2 linked regions of the Neurospora crassa OR74A genome follow. The protein of the gene in region 1 binds, or shares a complex with, the protein of each later gene. Links are inferred from orthologs where the notes say so. Each region holds a gene or a part of one and is shown on either strand. Other genes may lie near its edges.

Region 1 (3,535 bases):
GGTACATGCCGTGCCCTCGAGCCGCCCTCGAGCCGCCCTTGAGCCGCCTTCGCCGCCGCCGCCGTCAGTCTTGGTCGTGGTCTTGGTCGGTGTCTTGGTCTTGCTTGGGTGGTGTGTTGTGGTACAAAGATACGAAAAGAGTGCCTAGGTTATCTTCAGTCCGCCGAGGGCGCTCTAGCGGTGAACGAACGATACCTACCTATCTAGAGGTTACTTATCGCGGAAAACTTCCGTATACGAGACGACCCTTGAAACTTTTGGTATAGAATGCTTTGTAGACATGAAGTAACTGGACTGAATTGAGCTGCACTGGTTACACCAAGGTCTCACCACCAAATCCCACAAAGTCAGTGATTTGACCCATAAGGAAACAACCGGGAATTCTCCAAAAAAAAAAATGTCTTGGTGGGAAGAGGTCGGGGTCGGCAGGATCGGAAGGTAATCGATATGCGAAATCCCGTTTTTGAGAGACATGGCGTTGGGTGTGGGCATTACCCGGGATATTTTTCGGGTGTCTTGTCTCTGATCTGTTGAGGAGTATACTCGGTCCCGGGGGTTGGTCAAACTGATCAGGTCTAGTCCCGTCGGTGAGACCGAGACCATAGTTCAGACAACTTTATGTGTGTGTGATGAATTATTAACTAGAATTTGTTTGGAGAGAGAGAGATGTAGCATACCAAGCAGAGACACATGTCTTCCCGCCCTCTTCTTCTCTCTCTCTCTCTCTTTCTCGCGAAAATACCGTTTCAAATACGCCTGCTAATCACACAGCAATAGCCGATTTCGCTTCGCTTTGTCTTTGCCAACTAACCATTTCCTCTCCTTCCACCACCACAGTAGCCCTTGCATGCCTGCTTACGCTTTCCTCATACTCCCAATAATCTCCATCTGCGCATCGCGATCCCTCTGTCCCTCGCTGAGGGAGCCGACACTCCTCAGATCGCCCACGACGTCCTTGGCCTTGCCAAAGTAGACCTCCTGCAGCAGGTTGCGCATCTTGAGCTCCATGTCCTCGACCAGGCGGCCAATATTGGCAATGTGGCTCTCGTCGTTCTCGACAGGCAGGTCCTGCTCGACCTGGCGCGTCATGTTGCCCGAGAGATCAACCTCGCCGAGAGCGTTGCCCTTGGTGGCCAGCGAGAGGATGACGGTCGAGGTAAGGCGGTAGTTGGAGGTGCGGCCGCGCTCCGAGGCTTCGAAGACGTGGATGGAGTCCCACACGCCCGAGGAGGAGGGATTGGTTGGGGAGGCTGTTGACATAAGTGTAGGTTAGCAGACTTGTTCTTGTATGTAGTGTCGATAGGCTCCGGCAAGCGCAAGAGTCTCACGCGCATCGGTCCATCCCGTGCAGTCCAACCCAAAACAAATGACGACGACAGAGGAATAACTCACACTTCTTCAACAACACCACCCCCGCAAACCCATCGTCCAAATTCCAGAAATACACCGAACTCACACCCCCCTCATAATACAGCTCCCTGTACACGTCAAACGCCTCGTTGGCCTTGATCTCCATCTTCCTCACCCTCTCGCCAGGCATGATCGATCCCGCCGCACCGCCTTCTCCTCCATCTCCCTCGCCATCTCCACCGCTACCGCCCTGGTTGCCGCCCTCGAGCGGAGGGTCGAACTGGTTGCTCCATGGCGAGCGGTAGCTGTCGCCGTCGCGGTTGTAGTCGCATAGCAGGTAGTCGCGGCCGGTTTGCTTGCAGCGCTTGACGGTCAGGGGCTGGTCGACGGAGGAGAGCAGGTCTTCGGTCAGGTCGGGGGCGAGGGTGATGAGGTTGTTGAGGTGCTCGGCCGTGTGTTTGGGGTTGAGGCGGCGGAGGAGGTCGCTGTTTGGGTAAGGGGTGTCAGCTTATATGACCTGGTTCGTCTCTGGTTGTTTGCGCTGTGCCGCGCTTCGTGATGGCGATGATGATGTTGTTGTTGTTGGTGGTGGTGGTAGTGGTGATGCCCGTGATGTAGTTGGCGGTCGGTGTAGATCTGGCTGGGGCGCAAGGAGGGGTGGTGGGTAGGCGGACTCTGCGACTTGGTAGACTTACAGGGCGGAATCAAAGGGGTCTGCGGTCGCCATCTTGACGGATATTCCTCTAAGGGTGGGAAGGAGTGTGATACTCTTGTTTGTTTGTTTTTGTTTACTCGGTGAAGGTCGAAATGGCGGCGCGGCGACGGATGGGTAGACGGACAGGCCAGGGCAATGGAGACAGGTGCTAATGTTAGGTAGGTGGTTCCTAGCTGTTGAGTCGGCGGGGATGTTCCAGGGTCGGGTTCCTCTTGCTATGAAACCTCCACTGCACTGGTGGGGTTCCCGTTGTTGCTGTTTCAGGGGGCTCACGCACGGCCAATGGCACTGTTTGTTTCCATCTGGTGATGTTTCTGTACGAGATAATCTTTGCCAAGAAGCATCAACTTTGACGATGAGAGGCATAATCCGCACAATAACTCTTAGATTAACTGTTTTGAAGTCCGGATGAATCATAGAAGACTATTGTAAAGGTCTTGAAGTACGCCTAATTTGAATTAATCAAGTATTGATATATGCATTCCATCACTTTCCTCAGGCTATACTACGCCTATGTTCACATTTCCTGTACACAGTCAACAGTCAGCCAGCTCATCTTTACCTGGCCGACGACCCCTTGCAAACTGTCAACAACAACAACAACAGCCTTATTCCGAATCTCTTCATCTCATCGTCACCTTACCAACATGAGGTGAAGCATCGTACCAGACACCATGAAGCTAATGTCTGTATTGGGTATGTCTTCTTTCCTTTTTCGCACACACTCTCACACTCGCATGCGCACTGCGACTTACCGTCCAGCCAGATTGGGGGCTCTACCTCCTCATCCCAACCCTCGTCCTCCTTCACCTCTTCATCGCCCCATACACCAAGGTTGAGGAGTCTTTCAACATCCAAGCCACCCACGATGTCCTTGTGTACGGCACGCCACTTCAGAATGCCTATCACCGACTATCTCAAACATATGACCATTTCACCTTTCCTGGTGCTGTACCCCGAACCTTTGTTGGCCCTGTGGTCTTGGCCGGTCTCGGACAGCCCATCGTCAACCTTGTCGGCTTCGACCATGCCCAAACCATTGTGAGGGGTATGCTAGGCCTCGCCAATGCGGCCGCTATTCTTTTGTTTGCGCGGAATTTTAGACGTGCCTATGGACGCTCGGCAGCCAGGTGGTATTTACTTTTGCAGGCCAGTCAGTTCCATGTCATTTTCTACGCGTCGAGGACGTTGCCGAATATGTTTGCTTTCGGACTGAGTAAGTGAATTGCCTCATCCTCATCCTCATGGATAATGGGAATCTAACACGATCAGCAACTACCGCCGCCGCTCTCCTCCTCCCGAACCCGCAATCTCCGGAGCTCATCCACCGTCGCCACCGCTCTGCCATCTCGCTACTTGTCATGGCTGGCGTCATCTTCCGCTCCGAAGTAGCGCTTCTCCTCTTCACCACCATCTTCCACCTCCTCTTTGTCGTCCCCTCCACCTCTCTGGAGCGCATAATCCCGCACT
Region 2 (3,175 bases), on another chromosome or scaffold:
TCCACTGCCCTGGCTCCTGGGTACTGAGACGGAGATAGAGGTAGCTTGACAAGCCTAAAATCGAAACAACGCAGCCTTCTGAGGTAGCTAGACCGAATCAGAAACAGGCAAAATACGCAGAGGCGTGTGATTGGCGCAAACGGGTGCGCTCAACAAGAAGACTCCGAGTCAAAATTGTGGCCACTGCGTCAACCCCGACCGGGAACATCCCACGGCACCCACGGGTTTGCGACTCGGTTCCATCGCCCTGTTGCGTCGCGAGCACCTCCCACCTTTTTCAGGTTGTTGTTTTTCCAGCTCCCGGAGCACTCATTCATATGTGTGGCAAGTGTGTAGCACTCGAGACACCCGTCCCCTTCTTCGTTATCTAGTGCTGGGTGAGGGGAAATCACCAAGACAAGTTTCCGTTCTTAGAGCAATGTTGCGGGACCCATTCAACCAATTCCCCACAGCTGTAACATCGGGCAGCGATCACGGACACACCCGAACAGCCGCTGACACGGCAAACATGAGTGAGCTGTGCTCTTCCTTCTTTGGTTCTTCTGTACTGACTTGAATTTGGTTTGGCCACTGCCAGCAGTGCTCGCCCTCTCTCCTTCGTACTACCTAGGCTTATATTACTCAGGTCCATCCGTCCATACACCCATTACCGCCTAGAGCTTCCACCACCGATATCCTGTCCCAGGCGATAGCTGGCGACCTTGTCCCACTCGATTTTCTGTCTCGTCACCGGCAGCTGTCTTCTCAAGCCCTTGAAAGCGCCCTCGCTGAGGCTTGTGAAGCTCTTGTTCAATTCCTCCTGGTACTTCTTCTCGTTCACCGAGATCTCCTTGGCAATGCCGCTGCCGGTGCCCGACGACACGGTCGCGGTGACTGTCTTGTTAGTCAACAAACGCACGTTTCCGTCCTCATAGTAGTGCACGTCGACCTTGATGGAGCCCTCAATGGAGTTGTTGGATGGGTCGTAGATGTATAGCGAGCGCCAACGTCCGTTCCTGTTACCTCGTGTTAACGCAAAAGGCGGGTAATATGCGACAAGGCGATCGACTCCGTTCTAAAGCGACATACCAGAAGTTGTTCGGGCTGTACTTGTTCGCGACAATGACAACCGCGACTTTGGTGTCATTCTCTATCGGGTACGCGCCATAGGCGGCGTTAGGAAAGTGCTCCTTGACGTAGGCTGAAAGCCCCTTGACCGTGGATTTTCTGCAATTGGTATCAGCCCTGCCCTTCGCTCCTCAAATGTTGCAGGGGTTCTTGTTTTCCTTACACCAGGTCGGTCTGTTCGCCTTCTAGGACGTGACTCTGAACATCGCTGGCTTTCTGCAGTCGCTTGGGTTATTGACTTGTTCCACGTGTCGCTGTTTTCCATTGGCTGCTCAGTGGGCTGGCTAACCTGAGTAATGTGGTCGTAGGCGAAGCTCGAGGAGCTCTCGACGTCGTAGTAACGACCATCCTCCAGAGAACTATGGGAGCTAATGATAACAGGTTGGCTACCACCGGGGAGCTTCACCGTCGTGAACTGTTCCTCGTTGTACTTTTGGAACGCAGGTCCAAGCTCGTTCAGCAGATTAGGGGTCGAGCTAGTAAGGGCCTTGATGTCTGAAAGCTCGGAATCGTTAGAAAGTAGGGTCGCGATCCAAGTTCGAAGGGGAATATCGTGCCTGCAACAACATCGGCGAGCTGTACGTCAACATGTCAGCATACGCAATTCGGCTCGTTGGTGTCGGTGTAGGATGCGCACCTCGCCAGGGGGAGCTCCCTCAACGAAGGAGGACACAATCTCCTTGTGCGACGCCATGGTTCCGTGCTCTAATGGTAATTAAAAAAAAATAGACAGGATTAAAAAGGTTTCTCGGCGTTGTTTACTTGTGGGTTGGTTGATTCGTTGTATATTAGTTGGTGAAGCTGGTATCGATCAACGGTACCACGCTGCTAGAGATGATGGAGCTGCGCCTTGGGCATGTCCGCCGCCGTCAGTGGGACGGGAGCATGGAATGGCACCAAACCACTGCGGGGCCGCCTGAAGTGGGATGTGGATACTGTGAGGCCGACAGCTGTCAAGGGGCTTCACAGCTGGCGAGCTGCATTATCGTTGCAAGTAATATCCTGAATCCGGCTTACTGCTTAAGTTTGCGACGTCTGTAAACAAAGAACACTGCTACGATGAAAAACAATTGAGTTACAAGATCACGAGTTCGGAAAATGGCAAAGCCCTGGCATACATGGCAGGGTTTGGGGTTGTTGAGGGCAGTCGGTTGAGTTGCCTTTAGCAGGCATGGTTATAAGATCAAGTATTTGTCGGGATTTACAAGACGGCACCCGCCTGAACCGAACTCGCCTATTATAAACGCCCCGCTACGACTTGTCCATTTTCTTCCTTTTTTCCCGCTCATCATCAAAAGTTCAACACCTTCTTGATGTTGGCATATATCCCTAATGTCATGTCAGCTTATTTCGCTCTTACCAAACTCGTACAAGGATGCAGTTACTCACTCGCAACATCCGGAATGTTAAGTGCCTCGAACATGAGAGGCGTGTGAATGCTCCATCCAGCAACTCGAGCCACGGGAGCTTCGAGTCTAACAAAGGTTTCCGAGTCCTCTTGGATGGCAGCGGCCACCTCGGCACCAATGCCGGCATTGACCATAGATTCATGAACCACGATGCAGCGCCCCGTCTTCCTGACACTCTGGAACACGGTCTCCTTGTCCCATGGATAGACCGTTCGGAGGTCAATCAATTCCACTGAGACACCAAAGTCCTTCTCGGCCTTTTGCAACGCATCCATGCATTTGTATAGGGGTTGACCGTATGAGATGATGGTCACATCCTTTCCTTCCTTCAGCACTTCAGCCTTGGATAATGGCAGCGTATAGGACCCGGTGGGCACCTGCTCAACGGCAGCACGGTAGAGGATCTTGGGTTCCATGAAGACACATGGGTCATTGCTGCGAATGGCGGATAACAGCAAGCCCTTGGCCTGGATGGGTGATCTGGGCATGATCACTCGCAATCCTGGAATATGTGTGAACAAGCTCTCCGGCGACTGTGTGTGGTAGAGACCACCATGACCAACACCTCCGCAGGGCATGCGTACCGTTAACCCCCCGGCACTCCGCCCGCAAGAACCATCCCTGTATCTGAACTTGGCAGCCTCGTTCACCAGCTGGTC

The links. Proteins that work in one complex are often made in the same cells at the same time.
Region 2: NCU07471 (region 1) and NCU03911 share a complex: the UniProt entries of both Saccharomyces cerevisiae proteins name them as parts of the F-actin capping complex. The link is inferred for Neurospora crassa OR74A from reciprocal best matches to the Saccharomyces cerevisiae genes CAP2 and CAP1.

The regions. Positions count from the first base shown.
Region 1 is NC_026501.1:520,711-524,245, reverse strand, and holds NCU07471 (F-actin-capping protein subunit beta), read right to left. Parts: upstream 2,315-3,535; 5' UTR 2,078-2,314; coding exon 2,046-2,077; intron 1,836-2,045; coding exon 1,393-1,835; intron 1,251-1,392; coding exon 856-1,250; 3' UTR 508-855; downstream 1-507. Other genes in the region: NCU07472 (alpha-1,6-mannosyltransferase subunit), read left to right, coding at 2,740-2,761, 2,832-3,281, 3,338-3,535. UniProt on the Saccharomyces cerevisiae protein: F-actin-capping proteins bind in a Ca(2+)-independent manner to the fast growing ends of actin filaments (barbed end) thereby blocking the exchange of subunits at these ends.
Region 2 is NC_026506.1:2,119,629-2,122,803, forward strand, and holds NCU03911 (F-actin-capping protein subunit alpha), read right to left. Parts: upstream 1,918-3,175; 5' UTR 1,802-1,917; coding exon 1,745-1,801; intron 1,684-1,744; coding exon 1,665-1,683; intron 1,603-1,664; coding exon 1,397-1,602; intron 1,324-1,396; coding exon 1,271-1,323; intron 1,207-1,270; coding exon 1,069-1,206; intron 996-1,068; coding exon 647-995; 3' UTR 506-646; downstream 1-505. Other genes in the region: NCU03913 (2-oxoisovalerate dehydrogenase beta subunit), read right to left, coding at 2,399-2,436, 2,497-3,175. UniProt on the Saccharomyces cerevisiae protein: F-actin-capping proteins bind in a Ca(2+)-independent manner to the fast growing ends of actin filaments (barbed end) thereby blocking the exchange of subunits at these ends.